4 linked regions of the Diceros bicornis minor genome follow. The protein of the gene in region 3 interacts with the protein of the main gene of each other region in a biochemical or structural test. Links are inferred from orthologs where the notes say so. Each region holds a gene or a part of one and is shown on either strand. Other genes may lie near its edges.

What was found.
Region 1: of the proteins of UBA1 (region 3) and UBE2A, one has a biochemical effect on the other in vitro, tested with the Homo sapiens proteins (6 studies listed by BioGRID, with this or other methods). The link is inferred for Diceros bicornis minor from reciprocal best matches to the Homo sapiens genes UBA1 and UBE2A.
Region 2: of the proteins of UBA1 (region 3) and UBE2T, one has a biochemical effect on the other in vitro, tested with the Homo sapiens proteins (4 studies listed by BioGRID, with this or other methods). The link is inferred for Diceros bicornis minor from reciprocal best matches to the Homo sapiens genes UBA1 and UBE2T.
Region 4: of the proteins of UBA1 (region 3) and UBE2W, one has a biochemical effect on the other in vitro, tested with the Homo sapiens proteins (5 studies listed by BioGRID, with this or other methods). The link is inferred for Diceros bicornis minor from reciprocal best matches to the Homo sapiens genes UBA1 and UBE2W.

Annotation. Positions count from the first base shown.
Region 1 is NC_080781.1:110,107,101-110,114,543, reverse strand, and holds the start of UBE2A (ubiquitin-conjugating enzyme E2 A), read right to left. Parts: upstream 3,021-7,443; 5' UTR 2,844-3,020; coding exon 2,800-2,843; intron 2,660-2,799; coding exon 2,579-2,659; intron 2,174-2,578; coding exon 2,148-2,173; intron 1-2,147. UniProt on the Homo sapiens protein: E2 ubiquitin-conjugating enzyme that accepts ubiquitin from the ubiquitin-activating enzyme E1 and transfers it to a E3 ubiquitin-protein ligase. In vitro catalyzes 'Lys-11', as well as 'Lys-48'-linked polyubiquitination.
Region 2 is NC_080777.1:30,430,021-30,437,613, reverse strand, and holds the start of UBE2T (ubiquitin-conjugating enzyme E2 T), read left to right. Parts: upstream 1-4,592; 5' UTR 4,593-4,633; intron 4,634-4,643; exon of another isoform or gene 4,644-4,876; intron 4,877-7,593. Other genes in the region: PPP1R12B (protein phosphatase 1 regulatory subunit 12B), read right to left, coding at 1-215. UniProt on the Homo sapiens protein: Accepts ubiquitin from the E1 complex and catalyzes its covalent attachment to other proteins. Catalyzes monoubiquitination. Involved in mitomycin-C (MMC)-induced DNA repair.
Region 3 is NC_080781.1:40,992,812-41,000,091, reverse strand, and holds the start of UBA1 (ubiquitin-like modifier-activating enzyme 1), read right to left. Parts: upstream 3,001-7,280; 5' UTR 2,903-3,000; intron 1-2,902. UniProt on the Homo sapiens protein: Catalyzes the first step in ubiquitin conjugation to mark cellular proteins for degradation through the ubiquitin-proteasome system.
Region 4 is NC_080772.1:25,347,107-25,354,888, forward strand, and holds the start of UBE2W (ubiquitin-conjugating enzyme E2 W), read right to left. Parts: upstream 3,006-7,782; coding exon 2,904-3,005; intron 1-2,903. UniProt on the Homo sapiens protein: Accepts ubiquitin from the E1 complex and catalyzes its covalent attachment to other proteins.

The sequences.
Region 1 (7,443 bases), about 69 Mb from region 3:
GGTTTACAAGGAAGCAGCCAAAGTACTTTTGAGGCTGTTGATATATATAATACATTGGAAACAGCAAAATTAACTATGCCACTTATCCCTAAATCAGTGTTTTCCAGTAAATTCCCTAACTGTAAATAAGAGGTACTTTCAAATGGTCAAAAATATTATTTTTTAGCCACGGTGAGTGTTCTAGACACCTGAGGAAGCGTCTATGGATAGCAGACTGCTCAACTGTGAAGCAGAAAAGGGTACTCTCATTTAGCCTGAATAATTCCCTTTCAGTAATGCCAGGATGGAGATACACATCATCAGAAATAGAGCCAGTAATGTCAAGGGGGAAGGTGCAGGTAGATAACGGATTCCATAAGTACCTTTTCAATTCATACCACTTAAAACAACAGAAGCACTCTTGAAATATTTAGGTATCCAACCCCCAGCAACGTGATGTACTATTAATAAAGCTGTGCCCAGCATAAGGCAGTCTAAGAAAAATCAGGAGGAGAAAAAGAAGCCAATGAAAACAAAGCCTGCTAAAGCTAAAGCAAATACACAGTTAATCTGCACAGAAAGCTCAGGTATGAAGAACTAGCACCAATCTAGGCAGAGAAAATTAAGTCTAGCTAGCTCTTGCTATGGATCAGTTCAAATGATTTACTGCACCAAAGTGGTATGTCTTTAGAATCACTCTCTCCTGCTGTCATTTCTTTGTATGGCAGCACTGAAGAGTGGTGATATTTACTCAGGGGCTGAAGGTAGAGAGAAAGCTAAAAGTATTTAGGTGACTGTCTACAGTCTCCCAAGGAAATCTGAGTATTTGAGACAAATTGCAGAATTGGCTGATATTAACCTACCTCACAACATCTTGTGGACTGGTAGCATCAAAAAGCAATCCGACTCAGCAATGTACTTGGTAGTTTGCAGAAATGTTTTTGTTCCCTCCTTCAAACTGAGTTATGTGTGTGTGTGTGTGTGTGTGTGTGTGTGTGTGTGTGTGTGTGTATCAAGTATTATGTGACCAAAGGAAGACAAGTCATTGAGAAAAAAAATAACAGAAAGATCCTTTTCTTTTTTTAAATACTTCAGATATTAAAGATGTCAATCAGTAGTTCAAATACTTTTAATCATCTTTTAAATGTATTAAACTTTCAAAGCCAATTAACTATACACACACACACACACAAAACTGAATGCACATAGACTATATCAGTGTCAATTTCCTGGTTGTGATATTGTAGTACAGTCATTCAAGATGTTACCAAAGGAGGGGGGAGTGGGTGAAGGGTATACAGGGTTTCTCTGCATTATTATTATTATTTATTATAACTGCACATGAATCTATAATTACCTCAAAATAGAAAGTTTTTAAAAATCCTTAAAAAGCAATAAACATGTGTGTTTTTAAAAGTTAAATCTAAATTCATTAAAAATCACATACCGAGGTACATGTAGTAGCTTCAAGTAGGTTGGACACTGGTCAAGAGAGTACATTAAGGCTATCCTCAATTCTGAAGCTTCTTTGAGATTACTGACCGTAAAGTCTTGATAAACACACCCACCGAAAACTCATTTAAAAATAAGAAACAATATTATACTCAAACTGGGCAGTAAAGGTGCCATTAAAGACCATCTTAGAGCAGCGAGTCTGACAGGCATTCAATTCCACATTGCAGAAACCAGATAGTTATGCACAAGGGATTCTTGCATCCATTCCACATCCAACAAACACACATTAAGCACCTGCTGAACACAGTCCCTCCCCTTGTGGTAGAATTCTGAACCAGATGGTCTCTGGGGTCTCTAAGTCTATCAGCAAGTGGTTGGGTTGATACTAACTCAGTATCTCGATGGGGGGCTGAATTAAGCAGGATCACAGCTCAAACCCCCAAAACCCTTAACATCGGTGCTATGATGCGCCTTTTAAAACGTGACTGCCTTACCCAGATTTTTTTTAAAAAGAAGCAAGCAAGAAAAAGGGTGCAGTTCTAGTCAAGCGGACAATCGCCAGAACAACCTGCCATATATTGGATTCCACTCAAGCCTTTAGTAGGCTGAGGCTAGCGAGAAGCAGGTTCCTAAGTAGGAGGCACTTCCCGGATGACAAAACCGTTTCCCCAGCTGATAAGGCTCCCCAAAGGTGGGTAAAGAAACTCTCTTACCATCCTCAAACGGGGTCCCTTCAGGCCTGCAACAGAGAAAAAGAGTCAGTGCCCGCTTACGGGGCTCCCATCTCCCCGGTTCATCTTAGGAGATGGCTATTCCAAGCTCTGCCAACTCCACATATGGTAAACCACCCTCTCTCGGGTCGCAAAGCCACTACAAATAGGTGTTTCGGGCTCAGGCACACAGCACAGGCCGCCGCGCCTAACCGCCACCACTCCCCGCCCCGCCCCCCTAAGAACCCCAAACGGTTCCCCTGGCAGCGGGAACTGAGCTAATCGAGGCACAGGCTCCGGGGAGGCGCCTAGGCCCAGCCAGACCCAAACATCTTCCCTCTCCCCCTCCGCCTCCGCCCGGGGCTCGTCCCGGAGGGCATGCTGAGCCAGCCCGCGGCCCCCATCTCTCGCCACCGCCGGGAACGCAGACTCACCCGAAAATGACCGCGTTCCAAACCATGATGTTGTTCTCAGACGGAGCCCCGCTGACTCCAGCCGGAGGATCCTCCTGCAACCTTCAGAGACACACACAGGGGCCCCGCGATCCGGCACTCGCGGCCGCTCCGGGCCGCCCCCGCCCCACCCGGCCCGCCCCGGCCCCGCCCTGCGCCCCGGCCGGCAGCCCCCGGCCTCGGGGCCGTCCCTGTCAGTTTACCTCTTGAAGTCCCGCATGAGGCGCCGCCGAGCCGGGGTGGACATATCTCTAGCGGGGTCAGGGGTGGGGCATACACCGAGATCTCGGCTCCCCGCGGCGGCTAAGGAGGCCGAAGAGGATGAAGAAGCCGAAGAAGCCGACGAGGAAGCACCCAGAGGAACAGCACTGCCTCTCCGAAGTCGAGGGTCGGTCTGGCGCCGGCTAAGCACCACCCCGGAGTAGACGGGGGCTGAACCAACCTGGAAGGAAAGGGAGGGGGTGAACGCCGAACGCCGGACAGGCCGTACCAAGACGAGGCGGGGGGGGGGGGGAGGAGGAATGTTGCTGAGGTCATTAAACCCCAGCGGGAGGCGGGGAGCGCCGGGCGGTCGAGGGGTGAGACGCAAGCGGCGGGGCGAACGAGAAAGTCTGGAATTCACTAGGATTTAGTGGTGGAATGGGTCCATCTCCACCTGCCAATTCTAAGACGAACCCTTGGAAGCTTTTTCTGGTTTCTTTTCCTATCTTTTTTCTTTTCTTTCTTTCTTTTTTTTTTTGACACCAAATCACTTATTCAAGTGCCCACTGTGGATGGTGGGAGTGGGATGGAAGTCCCAAACTAGAGGAGGAGGGAGTGGGCGGAGGCAAAACCGGTTCTCAAAAAGCGGGAACTCGAGGGTGCACACGCCCTGCGGACACAGGAGACCAGGGAGGGGTGTGTGTGACTGATTAAAATCACTGAATGTCAAAAGAATAAATCGGCCTCCACTATGAAAGGGGGCTGTGAATCCCTTTTCCAGGGAATGAATATCAACATTTAGGCCTATGATAACCCCAAAGCAGAATAAAATGGTAGTGTGTGTCCTGGGGGAGAGAATGAGAGCTTAAGGCAAGCAGAAGGAGGTTTTAGCTCTGGGCACTCACAATTTGCCTCTGGAACCACATTTCCCCTTGGCGGTTCAACAAGCCAAGCGGCTACAATATGTTCAGAAGAGTCCAAGGGATGAGAATATCCAACTGCGGAGAACCGGAGGGGCAGTGAGTCTGAAGTAAAGGTAACGGTAAGATTCACGTGCAAAAGCTGCAGGTTGCAGGAAGAGTCACAGTTAGTATACGGACCTGCAAAAGCAATAATAGTTTTAAAGAATAATTTTTAAAGGTCAACCCAAAATAACTTAGAAGGTAGGCAATATACTCATTTAAGAATTTTTGAAAATATGAGAAAAGTAGCTTTGAGTTAAGTCATGGAGAGTTTTGAATGCTAAGGTAGTGGATTCCTTGGAAGGTGGTTGAGCAGAGAAGCGACATGATTAGAGCTGTGCTAATCAGAGATTGGTCCCAGGAGAGAAGCTAGGAAACTCTTGAAGTATTCTAGGTGAAAGATACTGAACCAAGCAGTGACAATAAAAGTAGAAAAGAGGGGATGAATGGAGAGGACTTGGAAACAGATTGAATGTGGGGGCGAGAGAGACGAAGGAATCAAGGAATCAACAATACTTGGAGTTTTAAGATAACTGGTTGTTTGAAGGTGCCATTAACAGAATTAGGGAGTAGAGGGGGAGGGACAATTTGGGGAGAGGAAATTTTGGGACTTACTAAGTTTATGGGACTGGCAAGACATCCTTGTGAAGATGTCTGGAAGACATCAGATGTGCAGAAATTTGTGTCTAACATGGAAGCAAGAGGCACTTGACGATGGCAGTAATTCTAGCTGCTGCTTAACAACAGGTACCTCCATGGCCAAGGATTTATATCTCTTATTAACTCCAACATATCTGTTAAGGCAGGTCTCCCTAATAGCATCACATTATGGCCATGGTGGGAAGGACATACAAAAATGAACAAGAAACCTCTTTTTCCTCTCATCTAGGAACTTGCAGTCACTAATACACACATATGAAATCAATAAACCCAAGATCTACCAAAGCAAGTGCGTTAGTTTTCTTTAGCTGCTTAACAAATTGCCACAAGTTGTTGGCCAAGTTCAGTTCCTTGCACTTGTAGGACTGGGGTCCCCATTTCCTCACTGGCTGCCAGCTGGGAGCCATTCTCATCTCCTAGAGGTCACCCACATTCCTTGCCACATGGCCTACTCCATCTTCAAAGCCAGCAACAGAAAATTTCTCTCCCATCAAATTCCTTTTATGCTTTGAATCTCTTTCTTTAGAAAGAGCCAGGTTCACTTTAAGGGCTTATGTGATTATGTCAGGCCCACTCCGATAATCTCCCTGTCTTAAAATCGTCTGATTTGGGACTTTAATTACATCTGCAAATTTCCCCCACAGTAGAACTTAGGTTAGTGTTTGATTGAGTAACAGGAAGGTGTGTATACATCAGTAGCCAGGAATCTTGAGGAAGAGGGTGGCATCTTAGAATTCTGCCTACCAGAGCAGCAGCAAGATATATAGCAGAAGCATGTGAAGCCACAAATGCTGAGGGACCGCATAGCATGAGGGAATCATCAGTCTGGTGGGGTTAGAACAAGCTTCCTGGAAGGGGGCTATTTCAGTTTTGTTTCCAAAGAGATGAAAGCAGGGCTTGGGGAGAACTCAAGCAGTTTCTATGAGGGCAACAGCACAAACAAGGACAGGGAGCTAAAGCATGTTCTGGGGACAGAGTGAGCAGATTAGCGTGGCTAGTGGAGAATCATGAGACCTCTGCTTAGAAAAGGGAGGGTGACAGAAGTGGATTAAATACCCTCAAGGGCAAGGATGAGGAATTTAGGCTTGACAGGCAGCTTTTATATGCCTTTGAGCCTGAGAGAAATGTATTGGAAACATCCTACTGAGGAGCAGCATCTACTGTACTGGGGAGTGCGAAAGAGACTGCGAAGCTCCTGCCACCGGATAGAAATGTCTGCAATTCATTGAAGGCCAGAAATGTAGATGAGTTTGTTATGGGCTTGAGTGTTTTCTGAAACTCCTTTGCCCTTCCTTCCTTGGACTACCTACTCAAGAAAACTCAGGAGCATGAACCCAAGCAGTCTGGAAGCCCCATGGCACCAGGGTATGGGGAGAGCATTCCCTGACTGCACAATGGAATTGCATTGCAGGAACACTGTGCCCCCTCATTCCTCACCAGAAGCAGGGTTGTCATAGCAAGAAGCGACACAGAAGATTGTTCTCCAGCACAGATGATTATCAGGCTAGAACGTACTAACTATAGCAGAGTTGGCCAAGCACTCCTTCCACCCCCTTCTCACCTTGCCATCTTGAAGAAATACCCTCTTCAAAGCCAAGCATCCCCACCCCCACCACCAAGAGCAGGGGTCAAGGAACTAGAAGTCTTTTTCAATTTAAATAAAAGTGTGCTGGCGATGCAGCTGCAGGGAAGATAAAAAATTCCAAATTGTCCACAGGCAAGGATTTGAGAGTTTTCCTAAAAGGAAGGACTGTGAAATGTGGGACTATACGACTAGGGAAACCATGGGATTTCATTCATGAAGATTTCAAAATGCAGAATAGATTATGATTTTCCGGAACTATTTTGGATTGGAAGGAGAGACTGAATAAACTATCCTTTCCTGCCTTATGAGGCTGTGAGTTTGTATTTCTGTTGAAGGCAAAGGAATTTTATTTTCCTATAATTTCCACTTCTATTGATAAAATTTAATACAAACATCGACTAAGAAATAACAGAAAATAAAATCAAAAGGTTTTGCTTGACTCCAATAATCTCAGAAGACAAGTGAAGACAATCACTTATAGGAAACAACAGTTGTCACAGTGCATGCTTTTGGCAATAAAAGTAGTAGTATGCTGTCCATCTATAGCCCCTACAACATAAGGAGAGAAATGGGGGTGGAGAGAGAGAGAGAGAGATGAAAAAGAAGAAGGAGGAGGTGGATGAGGAGGAGGAAGAGAGAGGAGGGGAAAATAGTGAAGTTCAGAGAAACGGGGAAATGAGGTCCACAAACATAGGATTTCAGTACTGGCTGAATTGCTGAATCAAGGGAAACCAAAGCATGGCATGGCAGGCTGAATAATGCTCCCACCCCGCTTCTCTGCCCGCAAGATCTCCATGTCCTAATCTCTGGAACCTGTGAATATGTTACTTTATATGGCAGAAGGAACTTTGCAGATGTGGTTAAATTAAGAATCTTGAAATGGGGAGATTATCCAGGATTGAATGGGTAGGCCTGATGTCCTTTATAAGAGGGAAGGAGGAGTCCAAGTTCAGAGAGAAGGCCTTGTGATGATGGAAGCAGAGATTGGAATGATACAGTCACCAGCCAAGGAGCCAGGGGATGCTGGCAGTCTCAGAAGCTAAAAGAGGCAAAGAATGGATTCTCCCATGGAGACTCTAGGAGTAACCAGCCCTACTGACATCTGGACTTTAGACCAGTGAGATTGATTTTGGACTTCTGATCTCCAGAACTGAAAGGTAATAAATTTGTATTTTCTTAAGCCACTAAATTTATGGTAGTTTGTTACAGCAGCAATAGGAAACTAATACACATGGCTACAGTGTTACACATGGAAATTCAATCAAAGCAGCCACATCCACCAGCAAACTACAACCAAATCCAGCCTGCCATCCTTTTTCCTATGGCCTGCAAGCTAAGAATGGTTTTCTATATTTTTAAATAGTTGAAATACTCAAAAGAAGAATAATATTTAATAATATTTCATGACACATGGAGATGATATGAAATTCAAATTTCAG
Region 2 (7,593 bases), on a different chromosome or scaffold from region 3:
TCCGTGTCCCCGCTGGAGCACGCGGCCAGGAACACGGCCCCGTCCTCGAAACGCACCCGCGGGCTCCCGCGCCGCGAGGCCGGCCGCCGCCCGGCGCCCCGGGGCTCGGCGGGCTCCTGCTCCGTGGGCGAGCCCCGCCAGCGCCGCAGCTGCTCGGCCCGCCGCGCCCGCGCCGACTCGGCCCGCTTCCCGCCCAGGTGCTCCAGCTCCGCCATGGCTCCGGCCCGCCGCCGCCCTCCCGCCCCACGCCGCGGGGGCGGCTCCAGTCGCCGTGTTGTCCCTCGGAGAGCCTCAGCCGGGAGCAGAAGCCGGAAACGCAAGCGCCGCCATCTTTACTTCTCCCGCGCGGCCCCGCCCGCGCGCTTCGGCGTTCACACGCATGCGCGGCCGCGCATGGGACCTCACGGGACTCGTAGTGAGAGCCTCCGCGGCCTTCGGGACTACGAGTCCCGGGATGCAGCGGGGCGGGGGCGAGCCGGCCAGTCTCCCGGACCAGGGCCAGCCTCCCTGGACGGTTAGGAGTCGTCGTTTATTCTTGTTGACACCCACTCATCTTGGCTCCCTAATGGTCACATCGGTCCTTTGAAGTGGAAAAGGAGCAGTAATTATCCCTATTTTCATAAAGTACCTGAAAGACTCAAATCCATGTCCTGGTTTTAAATCTACAGTTTTATTCACATCATCACATGTAATCTATTAACGTGTATTGTTAAAGTAAACGTAAATGTGCGTGATGAGGAGGAGCATGCACACACACACAGTGTTACATATACTACATAAATTCGTTCAACGTGACACTTATAGTCAAGGCCCCGAAAACATCCTGCAAAGGATGCGTCCAGGTATAGTGGAAAGAGCATAAACTTTGAATTCAAATTGAATTCACATCCCTAGACAAGTGACTTGACTTCTCCGAACCTGTTTCCTTATTTATAAAATGGGAATAATAATACCTCACAGGGTAGTCGTGTGGATCAAATAAGATAACACTGTATACGCGAAGATACCTAGTACTATCCCAGCATATATCAGCTCACAATAAATATTAATTTCCTTTCATCCTCCCTCCTCCTCCTCTACCCTTTCCATGGATCTTCAATTCTTAGGAGACAGAATGGATGTCTTGCCATCCATGATTTTTTTTTCCCCAAAGCTACAAAAAGATACCACGCAGCATCCTAAACTCCTAAGGCAGCAAGTAGGACATTTTCATATGCACCATGAACTTGGTTATAAAACCTGTCAGATCGATTTAATAACTATACGCCCAAGGGCCTTAGCCCTGGACAAAATATAATTGTGTTATCTATAATGAAAGAGAACATGTACAATTATTAGGTTCTTTAAATTTTTCTGCATGTTTGACATTTTTCATTAAAAAATATTGCAAAAATGATTAGGTCACTGTAAAGAGAAACTTTATTATATTCTATCATGTGAACATTTGCCTGTGCTTCAATTTCCCGAGATGAACTGAGAACCAAATGAAAAGCGACATATAAATGCAAAATATTATGTTTAATAATATTGTGCCTATCCACAATATGCTTAATTAGGTATTCTTAAATACTTTATAAATACTAATTAAGTCTTACAGCATCTTTATGAACTGTGAATAACAATGTGCATAAAAATAATCAAGGTGTAATAATGTATACTTTATATAGCCTTGTTTTCCTTGTGACGTCCACTAATTTAGAGTCACCAAGAACTTATCATGCCTCATCATTTATTGCAATTAAAAATTCTGTATGCGTTTTACTTTAGAACTTGTTGACATGGAACCCCTTCTTATTCCAACCCAGCCTCTTGCTGATAATGCAAATTGCCCACAAACTCTAAAACAGAACTCTCCCTACAGGATAAAAGAAACATTGATATTAAATCAAATAGGAAACAATACCCAGCTAGAAGCCTAACTCTCTTCAAGAGACATTATAAGCTTAACTCTGCCAATCTGGCAAGGAAGCCAAAAAGTGAGAGGGGGCAAGGTTTCAGAATAAAGCATATTGCTGAAATCTCAGGAAGCACATCTCTGACAGACAGCAAGCCATGTGCACCATTTTAATATTGTGCTCCTGGTACACAACAGCTGCTCAAAAAAAGTATGTATCATTCAACTGTATATTTTACTGACATACTGGTTTTCTAATAAGGATTTTTAAACTGGAGTAAAATTTTCAGGAATCAACAATGTTACATTTCTTTTGGCTGTATTCTTTTTGCATTCAGAATCAGGAAGGAAGAACTATCTGGTTCCAGGAGTATAAATAAGCTAAAATTGACTAAGTCCAAGTTAAATCCTTACTTTCCCAAGAGGTGTGAACTTAAATTTCAACAGGAAGAAATTCAGTTTCAGGAAGAACTTCCTTACTAAATTTATTTTAGTTGCTTTTTTTCCTGAGGTAGTTAAGAGTGTAATACCCTCTTTGTAGATTTTAAAGTAAAATATAAGTAGTTAAGATCCTTGGATAATTTAAGTGCATGCCTACCTGGAAGAAGAGAAATATATCTTTCAGCTCTGTGATTACAGAAAGCAGTAATTAATTATTATAATCTAATTAATTTAACCAGCTTAGACAAAAAAAATTTATGCCAAAAAAATACAACAAAATTAATCTACATATAATGGCTTGAAGTTTTTCAAAATTAAAATCACGTAAGTTTTTCCTGACACATCTTCCCCCAATCAGGGCTCTCTGAGAATAAACTTATACAATCAACTTATTAAACAAACATGATAGTTTAGATTTCCTAAACAAATACTCTAAAGAAAATGTATTTTGTATCCAAGTGAGTAAATCCTGACAAATAATCCTGTGCATAAATAAGACACAATTTTTGTTCTTTTAAATGTACTAAGTGAGCTGGCTATGATGCATATAAATTTTGGTATAAACTGAAGAACTTTTATTAAATAACAATTCTCCACACATGCTCTTAAAAAAATAAATTACAATATTAGAATACTCCATTTTTAAAAGCAATGACACCTGTACACAGTTTATGGAAAGCGTTCGGCCTGGCCTCTATTTCCACCAGTTAATATACCTCCCTCTGGTGGACAAATGGAAACTGTATATTTAGCCCATAAAGTACTTTTTATTTTTTCTTTTATCTAATCCTTTCATTTTGGTTGTCAAAACTACAGGTATTTGCTTGTTTTACAGGCCATCTCTCATTTCCACCAGACTCAATACAGTTCCTGCTTTTTCTAAGACACATTTCTAAGACTCTTCTCAGAGATCCACCCAAGAAAGTAATCAATTTCAGTTCTGAAGACAGAACTGTAATTGAGACACAACTGAGATAGGAAGAAAATAAAAGAAGACATTGAAGGGATTAAATCAGAAAGTATCAGCAGTGAAATAAGCAGCCAACTCCAGAATTATGACAGGAAACACTTCACTACAATGAGTAAATGCTGACCATAAATCAAAACCTCAACAGCTAACTGGAAACTGGGCTGGACAGTAACAGGATTCCTTACGCTTGTAATTCATAAGCTACTTGAGTTGGTTCATTCCTACTACCAATGTGAGGATCCCCAGGGTAGAATCATGGACAGAGTCCTGGTGCATGTGTGGGTCTCTGGAGGAGAGAACACACCTTGCAGTGGTCACGGGAAACCAGTTGCTACTCAACACCAATTTGGACTAAATGCAGAAATCACTGCAGTAGTTAAAATTATACTGGTTAGCACGTTTAGGAAAACTGGCCATTACTCCTATGCCAGCGCTGTTCCAAAGCCACACAATGAGCCGAAAGCAGTGAGATGAGGGCTTGCTGTGGTTTTTTCCACCCACAGCATTCAAAGTTAGTGAAGGCTAGTCAAGTTCCTGCCATGTCCTCTAGATTCAAGTCAGGTCATGCAGCATTCGCCTCTGGCAGAGGAACCTTCGAGAAGTCAAGGCTGGCTCAGCTATGACCAGGTACTTTCTTGGTCAGGTAGGACCACACTTTTAGAGTTAGAAAAGGCTTAAAAGTCATCTCTTCCAAACGCCACCCAATGCAAGCATCCCTTCTGCGCCATCCCTAACCAACTCCCAGTGAGGAAAGACTTCACTATCTCCCAGGTTTACCTGTTCTGTTCTTCAGATTTGTAATCGCTAGAATGCTTTATTGAGCTAAATTTTGTATCGCTTTAATATTCACCCCTTGGTCTTAGACGTGTCCTCTGAAGCAGTAAAATCTTCCAGATGAAAAATACTTAAACGAAGATAAGTACCACGTACGCCCTTCCTCAGATCAAGTATTTCCGTTTCATTTCACTATTCCTTCTTTGAGGTGATTTCCAGCTCCTTCTCTGCTCTGACAAGCACAGCCGACCGCGTAACCGAAACGTGGAGCAGTACTGGCCACCCAAAGCGGTGCAGCCGGGCAGCACCGGGAGGTGTCTCTGTGCGGCAACGTGCGCAGGGCGGACGGCGCCAGCGCGCGCTCCAATTTGAAAGCGGCGTGAGCGGAGGCCGGCTCAGAGCGCTGGCCAATAGGAGGCTGAGCTCCTCCCCGGCCCCGCTGCGGGCCAGTCGCAGTCTCGCAGGCGGGAGGCGGGGCGACCCGACCGCCCTGGCTCGCGCAGGCGCGGTGGATGCCGGTTCACGCGCTTCTGCGTTGTGAGGGGAGCGCGCAGGTGAGGAAGGGGCTTCCCGGTGGAGGTCGCTGTGTCGGGAGAGGGAGCCCCAGTTCTGCCTGACGAGGAGGTGTCCTCCTTCCGGAAGGGAGCCCAAGAAGGCGGCTGTGGAGCGGAGGCTCGGACAGCACGTCCAGTCGTAGAGGCCAGCGCCCCGGAGCCGCCCTCCTGCCCCAGCTGGAGCTCCTCCCAGGAGAGGACAGCGCGGGCGCTCGCGCGGGGCTGCGTGCGTGTACCTGCTTGGTGCGTGTGCGTGCGCGAGCTTCCTGCGCCGTCTGTTCCCCGACCCGTGTCTCGCTCGCTGTGGTTCAAACTGTCTTCAGTTACCGCAGGGCTGCGCGCGGGGGCGCGTGAGTTTAAACACAGAGCTTACAGAACGAGGACGTTCGTCCCGCGGATGCGGGCGGAGGGGGGCGACGGGGGTGGGGGCCGACGGGCCGGCGGGTGCGGGAGAGACGGAGGTGGGCGGGCCGGCGGTCCCGCGGGTGCGGGGGAGACGGAGGTGGGCTGGCCGGCGGGTGCGGGGGAGACGGGGGTCGGGGGGCCGGCGGGTGCGGGGTCAGGGGGGACGTTCGTCCCTTACGTGTGGGCGAGGAGGGGAGGTCTGTCCTGCTGGTGTGGGAGAGGAGGGGACGTTCACAGGCGCCAGGAAGAGGTCCGTGTGGCTGAAGACTATTTTGTGCGGAGTCCCTAGTGGATTTGAGCTAGGCGGTACAGAACCTGTATACCGACAGAACAGGCAGTAATTGATGACTTTGGGGCTGAGGAGCGCCGTAGACCTCTTTGTGTGAATATAGTGAGACGGGTCTGGCTGCCTCCTTTAGAGAAATTGTCCTGCTTGTTCTCACCCTGTGCTATTCCCTTTACCATACGCTTCCACTGTTTTATATAAAGGTAGACCTTATTACTTGTGGATGCTTGTTTTATTGTCCTTGATTCTCTGTATTTGCTTCCTAAGAAAAAGTGGTAAGGATTTGTGTATACAAGATGAGGTTAAGTAGTGAATAACTTGCTCCAAGAAATGATGGTCTTAAAGGTGTGGCTAAGGAAGTTTGACAGTAGTTTAAAGAATGATTTATATGAAAGACGGTTGCAGTATAATTGATTGTATTTAACATATTAGCTCACGTATAGTGTTAATTCTGCTTAAATATTTCTGAGAGACTGTGTTATTGTGGAGGAGCAGCATGCCTGGAGATTGGAAAAAGGAGAACCAAAGGACCTTTTGGTCTTTCCAACGTGATTCAGGAGAGTGTCTTGACCCGATCAGTAGGCAAACTTAGTTTCTCCTGATTACGTTTCCCGAGTAGAAATAACTTAGGGAGAGAATATATAGAATTAAAATTTTTACTGTAGTTTTGCAAATTAATGAATTTGCCTTTTAATTAATATTTAAGTCTTTGTGAGTGAGCTTGACATGAGTTAGTATATCTAAGCACTGTCGAATTTAGGTTTACTGCTGACTTGAGTTTTTAGACTATAAAGTGAAGAACCAGACCCTGACATGCGGAGACTATATCAAGACTGTGTGTCCATGTAAGGCTTTGCTTGCGAAGTTGACCTGTTTTCATAACATCCCCACTTGATCTCTCACCATTTATTTGAAAATATTTATTAAGCCAGGCACAGAAGAAAAAAATAGGAAATTTACCCTCAAAGAGCTTTCGGTCTATTGGAAGAAGAGACAAGTTATTAATTAAATATATAGTATCATGGACCTTCGACATATAATAGGGGTCTATCTTGAGATCTATTTGGATTTTCAGATTTACTACAGCATTTATTTTCCCTCATAAAATACTGTAAAATATAATTTGGATATGTAAGTGATTCAGATCCTTAATGATGCTATAAATGCAAGATTTGAAGTCATTTGTATGGTTATTAAAATAAATGCTACCATTTTTATTAAAGTTTATCTCTCAAAAAGCATTTACTATATGGATGAATAACTTGTGTACTGATGGGAGTACCCGATGTAGTAATGTCACACATCAGTTTTTTCTATATTTACATTAAAGTATATGTGGTTTTACTCTCAGACTTAAGCATTAGAGAAATTCAGTGTTTCAATCTTTCATATATCCTAAACTTTTATTTTCTGATTAAGAACCCTCCTTTTCTTTAACTTTTCGCTTCATATTTCCATCTCTGTAGCATTGGTGATTAGCTTTTCACTCAATGATAATTTTTTTGTTTTTATTTATTTTTATTTATTTATTTTTTTGTGTTAGGAACCTCAGCCCTGAGCTAACGTCCGATGCCAATCCTCCTCTTTTTTGCTGAGGAAGATTGGCCCTGGTTTAACTTCTGTGCCCATCTTCCTCTACTTGATATGGGACACTGCCACAGCATGGCTTGACAAGCGGTGCGCTGGTGCACGCCTGGGATCCAAACCTGGGAACCCTGGGCTGCCACTGGGCCGGCCCCAGTGATAATTTTTTTAATCAGCTTTGCTAAAATATAGCTGATGTATAGTAAGCTGCATATATGTAAGGTGTACAATTTGATAGGTTTTGACTTTAATATGCACTTGTGAAACCATTACCACAATCAAGACAGTGAACATATCCAACATCTCTGAAGTTTCCTCATGTCCCTTAGTAATCCCTTCTTCCCACCCCTTCCCTCACTCCCCCATCTGCAAGCAACCACTAATCTACTTTATATTACTGTAGACTAGTTTATGTTTTTTCAGTTTTATGTAAAGGGAACCAAATAGTATATACGCTTTTTGTCTGGCTGTTTTCACTCAGCATGATTATTCTGAGATTCATCTATATTGTTGTGTATATCAATGGTTCATTCCTTTTTAGTGTATATCAATAGTTCATTCCTTTTTAGTGTTCCATTTTATAGCCATGCCACCATTTATTTATCCATTCACCTGCTGGTAAACATTTAGGTTGTTTCCAGGTTTTTGTATCATCCTTATTGAGATAAAATTCACGTATCATACA
Region 3 (7,280 bases):
GCTCATAAATAATGAATAATCTTGCAGCAGCAGGGAAGCCAAGGAGACCAAGGCCACTTATCATGAATAATGCATAAGTCTCGGTGGGCTGGAAAAAAAGGGATAGGTCCACCTATTGCTGCATCTCATACCCTCTAAGCAGGGAAATAGGGCTACTACAGGGAAAATACTCCCCTGGCTCATGAATAATGAATAATACTGTTGCCGCAGCTCAACCTGGAAACTCAAAGAGGTTAAGCAAGGTCCCACCCAGTTAATATGAATTATGCACCAGGCTGGATGGACAGAAACACTCAAGGCAGCCCTGCCCAGCAAGTAGGGATTATGGTACTCCAGCCAAGGCAACATGGCCACGCCTTCCTGTTCATGAAAAATGAAAGACGATGCTGCAGAGCCACAGGGGAAACCCAGGGGAAGTGCAGCTGCCTCCTCCCCACCTCTGACTAACTGCACATGAACCAAGGCTGCCTTGGTCCAACCAAATCCAGACTCACTACATGCCTTTGGCAGGTGCCTCTGTTTCCACAACCGTAAAATGGGTATAGTAATTGAACTCATCCACCTTGTAAAGGCAAAATGTGTTATGAAAATCAGAGAATGTGAATTATGGAATGAGCTCAGAGCAGTGCTGGCACAAGGCACTGTTAAATTTTTTAAGTATTATATATTACTATAAAGGTAATATGTAAATATATATTTATATTAATATAAAATTAGTTATAGGTGCGGGTATACCCAGCCCCTAGAGAAACCCCCAACTTGGGGCATTATTTTAAAAGTAATGCCTTGAAACACCATCCCAGAAGGATACTGGAAAACAGAATGCTAAGGCCACCAATGGCCATTAAACAGGTAGGGTAGACTACCATGTCACCAGAGATACAACTGTATATCAAAGCCCAAGGCACACAGTAAGCGCCCAATACATTTCTGTCGAATAATAATAATAGATCACATTAATAGATCGCTAACACCACTATGTCGTGGCTCCTGTAGTGTGTCCTTTACATGCATTGTGCCACTGACCTCAGGAATGCAGAACAGGAAATGGGTTCCTTCTTTTCCTTCAGGTCTCAGCTCAAAGGTGATCTCCTTAGAGAGTTCTTAAACCCTCACAAAAATCATTTCCATCCACGGATGACTAGCTGTGTGACCTGGAGCCAGACATTTCACTTCTCTGGGCCACTGTTTCCCCACCCATAAATTGAGAACAATAGTAACTTACCTTGTGATGGAGTTTAAACGAGTAAATATGTAGAAAGGGCTTAGAACAGTGCCTGTTCTAATAGTGCTATATGACTAACTTTAGTAGTAGTACCATTAAATTGGGAGGAGGGGGCATTATGGCATTTGATTAAGACTACAGACTCTGGGGGCGGGCCCTGTGGTGTAGCGCTTAAATTCCGCGCATTCGGCTTCGGCGGCCTGGTTCTCGGGTTGGGATCACCAGCACGGACCTACACCACTCCTCAGCCACGCTGTGGCAGCGACTCATAAATAAAAAAACAGAGGAAGACTGGCACCGAGTTAGCTCAGGGCGAATCTTCCTCAGCAAAAATAAATTAAAAAATTAAAAAGACTACAGACTCTGGAACTAGACTGACTCACTGACTGTGAGTAACCTTAGGCAAATTATTTAGCCGCCTGGTGTCCCAGTTTCCTCATCTATAAAATGGGTAATAATAACCTACCTCCTAGGATTGTTGTGGGGATTAAATGGGCTAATAAAGTGCTAAATGAGTGAAAACTAATCTGATTATCATTATGCCCATACCCATTTTTAAGGCTCACAGAAGGATTTGCCAAAGATCACGCAGCTGGGAAGGATAAATGGGATTTGAATCTAGAGCCTTTGTTGATAATCTGGGATTACTGGGCCATAAGGAATGAACAATACACGAGGCCTCAATCCTTTGCTAGACGCAAGGCTTAAATCCTGGAACCCACAGGGGAAGACTAACAGCGGATCACGCAGATGAAGCTGTAAAAGCTACACCTCTCATGAATTACGCACAACACCCCTGGAAAAGCCACAGAAAGCTCGGGGCGCTACTCACCTTTACGATTAATCAGTGAGCTCTAGTTTGCCTGGCAGAATGCAGAACGCCCCTCAGCACACCCTTTCAGCATGCTGATCCGCCCCCTCGTGAATAATTCACAAGCCGACACTTCCAGCGGACCAGGTGCGAAAGAGGCAAAAATAGGCTTCCTCAACAGCCCCACCTCCTCATGAATAATGAATAAAGCCGCGGCCCAAGAAGGCCGGGTGGCACCCGGTCCCCTAGGGACGAGCCTAGCACATTGGGCTCCGGCGTCCCTTCCACAGCCTGGGCCGGCGGCTCCTCTCCCTAGAAACGTGTGGGCCCAGACGTGTCCAGTCTTCCCGCCCCAAGTACCCAAGCGCGGGGGGACCTCGTCACTGAACCTGAGGTCACAAAGGCCACAGATACCTCCACAATGCCACGTCGGTCCTGAACGTTCCCACTGTCACCAGGACCTTTCATGAAACAAGCGCTCTCAAAATTCCATCTTGGCTTCAGGAACCCCAAACTTCACCTCTCCCCTTGGGGAGCATCTCGAATCCTGCCCCATGGACAAAGTACTCACACACGGACCCTAAGGGTCTCTCCGAACATCCCCCTAAACCCTGTCTCCTAGGGGTATAAACTCTGCTTCCGAGGGGTATATAAACGCTGCCTCCGAGGTATCTCCTAAAACAGATTCCCAAATCCCACCCCAGAGACCCCAAACACCACTTCCTAAGGGTACCCTCAAAAATAGCCACCCCTAAATGCCACCCCAGGCCCAGAGCCTCCAAATATGGCCATTAGGGAATCCCCGAAATTGAGCCCCCTCCCTCAAATGCTGTCCAGGGGTTTGGGGGCACCGCGCTCCAGCTCACCCCCTGCGCCGGGCGGAAGCCTCGCCTTCCTGCTGGAGATGAGCCGAAGCCACGGGGCAACGGAAGAGAAAACCACCTCCGTCGTACAAGAAGCGCCAGAGTTTGCGCGGAGCTCGGAAGCGCGGGGCCTTGGAGGGCCCCGGTTTGGGATGTACCACAGATGCTAAGCTAGAGGGGAGCCCGCCCCTGCTCCCGCGCCGTCAGCGCCCATGTCAGACCCAGACACCCCTACAGGTTGTGGTACTTCCCAAACGCGCGAGGCATGCTGGGGGCGGTAGTCCTGTCTGACCAGTGCCTGGTGCACGTGGTGGGCATCAGCGCCCAGGGTATAGGAAAATGTAAACCTGGACTGTGGAATTCCAGGAGCTGAGCTCTGGAGGGATAGGAAAAGGGAGCGGAACATGGTGGGTACCTCCAGATGGAAAGGCACACCCATCCTACAGATGGCAAGGCTGAGGCTTAGAAGGCCAAAGGAGTTCATTTATTTGACATTTGTGGAGCTCAAGCTGTGGGACCGGTGCTAGGGATTCTTCCTTTCCCTCACGGAGCTGACATTCTAGCGAGAGAGACAGACCATAAATACAACAAATAACTAAAGATTGTAGTTTCACATATACATATGTATTATAATATATGTGACTCTATAATATAAATTATATAAAACAAAATGTACATATAAACACTACATAGTTTACATAACATGATAGCTAGTGTCAATATGTAAATAATTTACATCTGTATATAATAAATGTCTTATTAAATACACTGTGTATATTCTATATTCATATGTGAATATATGATTAAATATATACGTAAATATGTATTGTATATATGCGATAACTGTCAAACGCTATGGAGAAAAATAGAACAAGGTAAGGGGAAATCTGTGGGGACAGGTTGCATTTTTAGATAGTGTGGTCAAGGAAGGCCTCGCTGAGAAGGTGATGTTTGAGCAAAGGTGTTTAACACAAAATGCCTTTGTCACCTTATCCCAAATTCTGTATCTCATATCCTGTCAACAACCTCCAAAGCTGTTCATTTGAAAAAGATTTATTGAGTGTCTACTAAGTGCAGGGGACTGGGAGCATAGCAAAGAACATAGCAAGGAAACTATCCTTGCAGTACTCTAGAACACTCTTCCCTCAGGTCTTTTCCTTCTTCTGTATCCTTTGCCTCACCTCAGAGAGACCTCTCCTGATTCCCCATGTAAAGTAGTCAGCGAATGCCTCTCTGAGGAGGAGGCATGTGAAAAGTGAGGAAGCGAGCCACGCGTGGAGTGGGGAAAGCATTCCAGACAGAGGGAACATCAGGTGCAAAGCCTTGAGGTTGGAAGTTCTTGGCAGGTTTGAGGAAGAGCACAGAAGTCTGTGTAGTTGGAGAGGAGTGAGGAAGGGAGAGCACTGGGAGATGAGATCTGAGGCCATGTCAAGTAAGGCATTGTAAGCCAGGCTGAGACGTTTGGTTTTCATTCTAAGATCTGTGGGAAGCCGTAAAAGGATTTTAAGCAGGGGAGTCACATTATGTAAATTATATTATATATATATATTTTTTTGGCGGTGTAATCGCTTTTATTCGGATTTTTGAGAGCACTAGAAGGGCCGATTATTACCTATCTTTCCAAGTTAAGAGATCTAAGACTGTTTCCAAAAGACTTCAGATAAGAAACTCCCCCTCAAAAGACGAGGGTAATCTGAATCATCTTAAACCAGCAATAAAAAAGTAAAATATAAACTTTTATTTAGAATTAAAGCAAATACTTCAGTATCACAAACAGAACATTAAACTTCAAGAAATATATGCTAATTTGGAGTGAGCGTTTATTTGCACAATTACAACACGCAGACACACCCAGCAGAGGAGCAGGCCTCACACCCGACCCAGCGCAGCGCTGGTCACGCCACCCGCACAGTGTGGCACAGAGCGGCACAGCGCGACAGGGGGCACTGTGGTTGATCGAGCTCCGGGCGGTGAGGTGCGAGGACGCAGGTCTCCACTACTCCGCGCCGGAGGACTCTGTCGAAGGTGTAGGCCATGAAGCAAGCTTCGGGTCTCTTGGGGACAAGGGGATGCCCTGGCCTCACAATCTCAAAGCCCAGAAAGCTGAAGGTACGGAGCAAGGCGGCTCTGTCATCACGGCTCTTGTGGAAGCAAATGAAGACGCGGTCAGCGTGGGCTGCTCCTCGGCAAACTCGGGAAGAACCTCGAAGCTGTCCTCGCTGCCCTCGGGCAGCGCCCCGCCCCGGATCTCAACGTCGAGGGAGCCCCCTGCAGCACCACTCTCCAGCTGATGTGCTTGGCGGCCTTGAGCCTGGTCTGGACATTCAAGATTCTCGTCTTGTCGTTAGACGTTAGTTCCTCTGTTACATTCAGCCAATTATCAGAGTAAAATAAATTAGCTGAAAGATTGTGATCTCTCTGACTATTCCCTCGCCCACCTGGGATCTTCAGGGGTGGGTGAGGGACATCGGGAGCACCACCGAGGCCCCGGACCCAGCTTACTAGAGCGGGGAAGGGAGACCCTGGAACTCCCGCTGCTGCGGCCTCCGTGGCTGTGCAGGCTGAGGACATGGTGCGGCTGGTATGGACGGTGGTGCTGGGTTTATCCCCCTCCTTCTTAAATTATATTTTAGAATGAACAATCTGGCTGCTCTGTGTGGAGAGAGAACAAACTGTAAGGGGAAAGGTGGAAGCAGAAAAACCAGTGGAAAGGCCACTGCAAGAGTCCAGGAAATGATGAGAGGATCAGACCCAGGTGGTGAAAGTGGAAGTGGTGACGGGGGGTTTAGACTTTGGGTTGATTTTGAAGGTAAAGAAGCCAGGATTTGCCAAGAGATCAGATATGGGGCATGAAAAATAGAGAGTAGTCCTAGTTGACCCCCAGATTTTTAGCCTGAGCACCTGGAAGAATGGAGTTGTCATCCACTGACATGGGAAATACTTCAGGAGGAGCAGATGTGGGGCAAAATCGGGAATTTGGTTTTGGATGTATTACATTTGAGATGCCTGTTAGATGTCCAAGGTCTGGTATGTGTCAGTTGAGTAAACAGTTGGGGACTGGGTCTAAAATTCAGGAGGTGGAGGGAGGTCTGGGCTGGAGATACAGATTTGGGGACCATCAGAGGTGACAACTGAAGCCATAGGTGTGGCCAAGTTCTTCTCTGAAGAATTGGTTGCCTTCAAATGGATCATTGGGAGTAATTGAGGCCGGCTTTGGACTTTACTGAGTGAGAGGGAAGGGCATTCCAGTTGGAGGAAACAGCTTGAGCAAAAGCCTGTGGAGGTAGGGAAGCAGGAAAAGCGGAGGGAGGTGGACGGTGGGGGCAAGAGTTGTACCATTTTGCATTGCTTCCAGCCATGTATGAGAGTGCTTGCTGGTTCACAGCCTCAATGAGCAGATTGTCAAGACTTAGGTTGTTTGCCAATCCGGTGTAATTATAATTTGCGTTTCTCTTATTAGGAGTAAGCTTGGGCATCTCTTCATAGAGTTAAAGGTATTACAGTTCTTGCTTTCTGGGGATTTTCTGTTCGTGTCCTTTATCCATTATCTAATGGGTTGTTGTATTTCTTATGGATTTTTAGGAACTCTTTATATATTAGCCTTTTTTAAAAATGGAGTCTTGAGGATGAGAGTAATTTGAACAGCTGTGGTGTGTGTATTTATTCATGCTTGCAAGGTCTGCTACGCGCCAAACCCTATTCTAGGCATTGGTGACACAGTGGTGAGCAAGGCAGACAGACGTCCCTTCCCTCGTGGAGCTTTCATTCTAGTGAAGGAGACAAACAATATAGAAAAGTAAGAAAATATATAGTACGTTAGACGTTGAGAAGTGTTATGGAGAAAAGTAATGCAAGGAAGGGGTCACAAGGTGGTGGGGGAGGGTTTGGAATTTTAAACGGGGTAGCTGGGGCAGGCTTCATTAAGGAGGTGACATCTGAACACTCAAATGGCATGTCTCCTTCAGTCTGGAACAGTTCTTCAATCTTCCCTTGACCTTTATGACCTTGATGCTTTTGAAGAATATAAGCCTGGAATTTTGTAGACTGTCCCTCAGTTTGGCATTGTCTGATGTTTCTTCATGGTTAGCTTCAGGTTCTGCATCTTGGATATGCTGTCTCTTTGTTTCATCCTATCAGGGGGCTCATGATTTTAATATGGATAATTTTCACTTTGTTCCCTTCATTAGGATGGTGTCTGCCAGGTTTCTCCACATTAATGTTTTTCCTTTTCGAATTAACTAACATGCATTTCGTGGAGAGATACTTTGGATCTATGTAAATATCCTGTTCCTCATCAAAGTGTCACCACTAGTTTTAGCATCCATAGATTTTCTAACTCTATCACTGTTCCGTAGTTAGTTGACATTCTATTGTAAAGTAG
Region 4 (7,782 bases), on a different chromosome or scaffold from region 3:
GCTGGGGGCTCGGGTTCGGATCCCTGGCCCGCACTGACGCGCTGCTTCTCCAGCCATGCTGAGGCCGCGTCCCACATACAGCAACTGGAGGGATGTGCAGCTATGACATACAACTATCTACTGGGGCTTTGGAGGAAAATAAACAAATAAATAAAAATTATAAAAAAAAAAAATCTACTGAAAACTTTCTAGGCAAGGACATGGTCAGAGCAGCATTCATGTACAGTGTACTTTTTCCTAAGTGCTCTACTGAAATCCCAAAAATATCCATTTCACAACCTCCTTCCACACTTTTTCTCCATATCACTATCACCTTTTAATATAATGTGCAACTAGCAAATATTTTGTTCTTATCTGTCTCCCCCAATTGGACTACTATATCCACAAGGGCAGAAATCTTGCTTTTGTTCACTGCCATATCCCCAGCACCTAGATGAGTACTTGATACATAGTAGGCCCTCAAAAAATAATTCATGAGTGAATGAACAAATTTCATAATTTGGTTGCAGTTTTATGTGTAACTTAGTCATTCTGAAAAGAGTTAAACTCTACTACTAAGTAGGAAAAAATGTTGTTCACCAGACACAGAATAATCACAGAAAGTAGTGCTGTGTTTCAAAAAGTTTATCTATATTAAAATATTTTTCTAGGGGCCGGCCCGGTGGCGCAAGCGGTTGGGTGCACGCGCTCCGCTGCGGCGGCCCGGGGTTCGCTGGTTCGGATCCCGGGCGCGCACCGAAGTACTGCTTGGTAAGCCATGCTGTGGCGGCGTCCCATATAAAGTGGAGGAAGATAGGCACCGATGTTAGCCCAGGGCCGTCTTCCTCAGCAAAAAAAGAGGAGGATTGGCGGATGTTAGCTCAGGGCTGATCTCCTCACAAAAAAAAAATATATATATATATATTTTTCTAGATACTATCAGAAAATCTTTATCAGATATTTAAAAAATACAAATAAAAGATTTAGTTTTATTTTAATTAAAATAGGAAACATCAGTTTTCTATTCCTCTAATCAAAAGACAAAGGAATAAAAGGGTGATAAGACAGTCAGAAAAATGCAGTATTGCACTGGCAAGTATTGTTTTCCATTGCTTAAGTCGCCATGTAAAATTCAAGATTATCAACATTAAGTTCTGTGCCAACTCAGCTTTTTCTCTTAAAAATTAAAATCTGCCTTTTCCAGACACTTGAAGTCTAAATCTAACCAGCTAATTAGCTATCCCTACAATTCTCTTGTCAAATATAATCACAAGTGTTGGGGATTTTAATATTAATTGTTAGTCTTAAATAATTTTAACCTTAACACGAATAATCTTAAACTGGTCATATAGCCCATCTACTGTTCAACTACTGTTCCACAGTTCCTTTTTTAGCCTCAAATGACGAAACTCCTCTAACGTCTCTGTGGAGACTAGTGTCAAGTGTAATGTTTCTGAAATTGTTTTTTCTCTGCATCGTTTCATGACATCTCTTCAACTAGGAATGTTATATACAATTTTTTTTCCCTATTCTGCAAGGAAGTCCAGACGGAGAAGCAACTGTAAAAAGAACATTCTATGAGAAACAGGTTGAAAGAGGATAACACAAAAGTACAGAAGTCAATGTGAAGCAAACGTGCACAAAAGAGGAAGAAGATGCAGAAAACAGAAGAGATGAAAGAAAAACACTGTTCTCGTCTAGGAAAGAAAAAAACAAGGAGGGTGGATAGGGAGACTTGCTTATTCTTCTAGAAACAAAAGCACAAAATCCTTCTAAGAAAAACGTGGTCTCCTTGTTAAGCAAATGTTAAAACTCTAAAAGGCGCTCAGCTGCCACTCCAAACGACAATTCTTCCTTCTCTTCCTATATGTTTCGATAGAGCTAGTCTTCATCTGTAAATTAAATGCAAGCTCTAGATAATGCAGAGTCAATCTCTACAAAACTGCAACTGTGGTTGCCATCTTTGCCTGAAAAAAACCAAACTCGTTGGATTTGGAAAAAAGGAGTATATTAAGTAGCAAAGCCAGAAAACCACGCGTTGCCAAGTCAGGCAGATACAACACGAGTTAACAAACGCTTCCTACCAAACTAAGGTTCCCCTAAAGATCTGGGGAAGAAGGGCAAAGGGCTGCAGCCTTACCGCGACCGCAAGGGTGGGGCACAGCAGGGAAAAAAATTTGAGGGCGAGCTATCCCGGGAGGTCTAAGGGGACTGGTGACTCGGCTCTCGGGGAGATCGCCTACTAGGCGGCCAATGATGTCGATGGACTAAGGGCAGCTTCGGGGACAGTGAGAAAGGGGGACGAATGTTCGTGGAGGGTGCGGAGGTGATACAGAAAGGTACCCACGGGGCAAAGGATTAAGAGTCAAAGGGAGGAGAGCCGAGGGGCCGAGCGGTCCGGAGGCCGGGCGTGGGAGGCCTGAGCGGAGGCCGCGAATCGCCTTTGCAGCCAGCCGCCTTCTCGGGGAACGCCTTTTCAGCTCCCCACACTCAGCCCCTCTCAGGGCCGCCCCTGCCCCGGCGACAACGGCGAGAGCAGCTGTTTCCGCCCGGCCGGGGACCACGGAGGAAAAGGCATCCCTGGGGCGGGCGGGGAGGCCGCCTGCGTGAACGGGAGGGGATTCCGAGACCACTGCCGCCCAGCCAACGCCAAACTTGGCCCTTTCCTCCCCTTCGCCCTCTTTCTCCCCCAACTTCGCGGCCGGCGGGTGTCCGCTTCGACCGACCGCGACCCCCCCACCCCCGCCCTTCTTCTCGCCGCCTCTCACCCCTCCCCAACGCCCTGAGGCTGAGGCAGGACGGGCCACGAGGGCCGCTCCCGAACCCGCCCGGGTGCCCCAGGGTCCCAGACGCCGCCCCCGACGAGACGGTCGCATCCTCTCGGCGGCTCCCTCGCCCGCCCAGATGCTGCAAACTCCTCTCACCTGCATTGACGCCATGATGGAACCATCCCCCCAAGGCCGGCGAGGCCAGAGACGCAGGGGGCGGAGCCGCCGTGCTTGCGTCACGCCGCGGGGGCCCAGCATCCCGGGCGCGGGGGCGGGGCCTGCGATGGGAAGGGGATGGTGCTAGGGGATTGGCTGGCGCCCGGGGGGGAGGGGCGGGTGGGGGCGCGGTAAATGGCGCTGTCTGTACCCTCGGTCACAGCCGGCTCTAGGGCGTCGGGGGCTCGCCCGCCGGCTGCTCCGGCCGCTTAGGGGACGCCGCTCCGGTTCTGACCTGAACACGGACGTTGTTTTTTTTTCTGTCTCTGCTCCGACATCCTGATGATGTCTGGGCCCGAGGGGTTTTCTCTGTTTTGTTTTGTTTTTCCGACCACAGGTGTGTGGTTTACGGATTTTTCCCCTCAGATGTCTTTTCCACACGACCATGCCCCCTCTCACACCCTTGGGCCAGATAAAACTTCCCGCGGGGCTGCTTTCAGGTTTTGAGGACCTGGAAGACTTCTCATATTCCTAATTTGGGGAAGAGAAACACAGATTTCCTTCTACAACGGGATGAGAATTGAGAGCACAACAGCACTTGGGTATTTTAAAGGCGAGAGTAGATTTGAAGAGCTGAAACTTGCCTGAAAGGGAAGAGAAAATTTTGAAGTTTTTCTTTCGTTTGTGTGCGATTTCCGCCCCTTTACCGCAGCTCCTCAGTTTTAAACTTAACGTGTGTCAGTGGTAGTTATGGTTATTCTGGCATTGGTGTTTGATTAGAGATTTGATCCTGGATGTGAAAAAATTTTTTTAATGTACCAGTGTCACGTTATAATATACACTTACACCTTCTGTCACATCTAGACTTCTCTTCAGGCCATTTCGTGGTGGGCAGTTTTGTGGTGGTTCACCCTAGGGGTGTATTTGAGTAGAGAAAGCTGAGGATACAGGGTTTATTCTGGGAATGCACCAGATCTGCCAACATTGATAAATGTTGGCATCTTTAAAAGCCGCATCTTTAAAAGCTATTCCAGAACTGAAGATGTCATTGGTTTATAAGAAGAAAATGGAAGCCAAAGTCTTGCACCTCGTGTTCTGTCTTTAAAAATTAAAGTGGCTGGTGCCTTGAGTAGAAGGCTTTTACTTTACCAGAATGAAAGCTTAAAATCTGTCATTTTATTAGCTTGGCATTTTAAAAAATTTCTATAAGTTAAGATTTGAGGGCTGGCCCCGTGGCTTAGTGGTTAAGTGCACGCGCTCCAATGCTGGTGGCCCGGGTTCAGATCCCTGGCGCGCACTGATGCACCGCTTCTCCGGCCATGCTGAGACCACTTCCCACATACAGCAAAGGATGTGCAGCTATGACATACAACTATCTCCTGGGGCTTTGGGGGGAAAAAAAAAGATTTCAATATAAGAGCAATGTAGGATATCCCCATCCTTCCCACTCTTAAAATAGATCATTATGTTCTCTGGGAAATTCCCTAATGTAATGTAAAAATGTGTCTGAAAAGGAAAAATATCTTTAAAACACACCAATCATTCTATCATGTACTATTAAACACACTGTTCTTTATCATTAGAGAGAAAGTTATATGGTATACTTTTCCTATCAGACTTCCACCCTTTTCCCAGAAATGGGCTGTTTTTCCCTTTGTTGTGCAAAAGGACTGTGTCCTTGAGGACTGTTTGGATGCTCTTGGCAACCAGGAATCATCCAGAAGCATTACCAGGTGTCAACCCAGTTGTGTTGTCAACATTTCAACAGTGAGTAAAACCCATATATCCCAATGAAAGAGGAAAGCTTTTCCGGATATATTTTCTTCTGGAGATCTTTATCCCTGTGATCTCAGAAAACTGCTCCAGAAGATCAGGTTTTACCATCCAAGGTTCACTTTGTTTAAAAGCTGATTCTTCCTAAGGTATAAGTGACATCAGATGACCCCACAAACAAAGCATTATGACATCATCAGAGCTGACAACCTGCCGTGACAGATACTAATAAGGAAGAAAAGAGGTTACAGGAATTCTGACGCTCCTCACAGTAAAATCAACATCTGGTCCCTTGGGTTATGTATGTGTTGAAAAGGAACTTTGTAGGAGGGAAAAGTCAGCACCAGTCGTATCCTTCCTAGGAAATATTAAATAGTACATAATTACGTCACTAACTTCTTCATTCTTTCATTGGACTATAATAGAAAGATCCTGATGTACTCAGAGCTAAAACAGTGACTTTCAGATTGGGTGGGGCATATAATTACCTCCAGGGAACATGAAATTTTTATATCTAAAATACTTGATTATACACAATATTTGAAGACTAGGCTCACATCTCATTTCTTTACAGAGTGGGGCTCATTCTCAAATAGGCAAAAAATAATATGTCTGACAATACCAAAAGTGGGAAAGGAAGTGCAGTTCTCTTAAATTATAGGAATGAAATAGGTAAATCACTGGAAAACAGTTTAGCAATAGTAAAGTTAAAGTTTCACATAACCTTAAAGAATCTTTCTAATAGCATCATTTGCAATAAAAGATACTTAAGAGGTATATTAAACAAATGCAATGTGTTAACATTGTTTGGATCCTGATGCAAACAAACTAACTGTAAAAAAGATATTTTTGAGATAACTGGAGAAATTCAAACATAAAATGGATGTTAGATGCTATTAAGGAATTATTATTATTTTTGTTAGATTTGATAATGATACTCATTTTTTAATTTCCACAGCAATTAGAAGTGACCATCAGGGGCTGGCCCCGTGGTTAAGTGTGTGCGCTCCACCACTGGCGGCCTGGGTTCGGATCTGGGTGCGCACCACTTGTCCAGCCATGCTGAGGCGGCGTCCCACATACAGCAACTAAAAGGATGTGCAACTATGACATATGACTATCTACTGGGGCTTTGGGGAGAAAAAGAGAAAAAAAAATGGAGGAGGATTGGCAATAGATGTTAGCTCAGGGCCGGTCTTCCTCAGCAAAAAGAGGAGGATTAGCATGGATGTTAGCTCAGGGCTGATCTTCCTCACACACACACAAAAAAGTGACCATCAAGTTCAAGGAGGTGATTCTCCCTTACCTCACAAACTACCCCATCTCTACCTCCTGGAAATAAAAAAAAAAAAAACAGAACAGACACAAGCTGTAAAGGTACCTGAGGTCTTCCTTTCCAAGGTAAAGACAGCCTGTACACAGAGAACTAAAAGCAGCTGGACTTTCTGGCAGAAAAGAGGAGGAAATTTGGGAACCCAAATACTCTAGTAACTTGAAGGACCCACAAAGGGATCACTGGGGAAGTGCTGCAATATTGATGGAGTAATGTGATTTATGAAGGCTTGAGTTGTAGTGTTTCACTAGACTGGAGACTCGGGAGCAGTCCTATGAGAATATGTTATTGGAGATGAAGAGGCAGAGTTGACAAGTCCTTCCTTGAGTCTGTGTCTCCGCAGAGTGGTTTGTTCTTAGTCTCCTACTGGCTGATCTCACCGGAGAAATGGAGGTAGTTCCACAACCAACAGCTCGTTTATTGGATGTTAGAAAATGCGTGAAGCTAGGAATCCGAGGCTTGTATCTTGTCCTGACTCCGTCATTAGCAAGCTTGGTCAAGGCTCTTAATCTCTCTGGGTTTATTTCCTTATCAATAAAATGAGCAAGTCAGACTGCATACTCATCAAGTTTTCTTGCAGATTTCAAATTCCATGCACACATTAGAGAGAATCAGAATTCAAAATGATTTGTCTAAAATATCATGTTAAAAAGTCTAGGATAAAATGCAATGGGAATGATGTACTATTTTGAGTTAAAAAATGACTTTTATAAATATAATAAGGAATGAACTTGGCTTCATTGTAATTTATGTAGAAATACTAAGGGGCTTTAGTTAACAATTTAAAAATGCTAATATAATCCAATTGAGCTATAGAAGGGATTTCAAAGTAGAAAAGCTCCAAATTCACAATTTAGAGTTGATACTTTTAAAGAAAGCATATCGCCAAAGCAAAAGCGTATTATTTTTTATAATTTTGGACCCAAACTAGTCATTTCATGTGAATCTCCTAATAAAGAACAAAGAAAATGAACAAAATAACAAATGGTTTGTATGTGTGACCTATTCTGGGTGACTTACTCTACATGTCAAAAATAGTCGATTTATATACATGTACATATCTAGTTTGTAAAAAAACTGTGAATCTGGAGAACTTTGTTTTCACTTTCTCCCCTTTCCCTGCCCGTCTCTAGCAAGAATTCTTTTACCCAGGTCTGTAATCCTCTAGCACGTTGTTTGTCTACTTCTCCCCTAGACCTCTTATCAAACATGTTCTTAGAAAGTTATACCTTTTTTTTTTTTGGCCATGGACTCCTTTAAAAATCAAATGAAAGTCATGGACCCACGCCACAGAAAAATCTACACACCCATGAATTTTGTATTTCAGGGAGTTACCCAACCCTCAGAAATTCATCCACTGGCAGAGGTGTGTAAACCTCAAGATAGAAAGACCTTTACTGAAGAGGTGAAAATGGATACCGGCTCAATCTCTTGCCCTTTCAAAACCTGTCTATCTTTTATGTAGACATAATTTCATAGCACTGTTTTCTTTTTGTTCTCTTGTTTATTTTCCAGTCTTCCTGAAGAGCAGGATGCTGTGAGAAAAGTTCTGGATTGGGAACCAGAAGAGTTGAGCAGCACTTGCCTTGATCCTTCCCAGGGATGACACTAAACTTATATAACGACAGGTGTGGCACAGGTACCAACCATGCAGAACAGAAGCTGCTCAGAGTTGGAGTATGGTCCTGGACACTCCCTGTTCAGTGGGCCAGGTATCTGTAATTAGGTCATGGGGAGGTCTGGGGGGATTCAGAGGCTATAGAAGGGAAATTC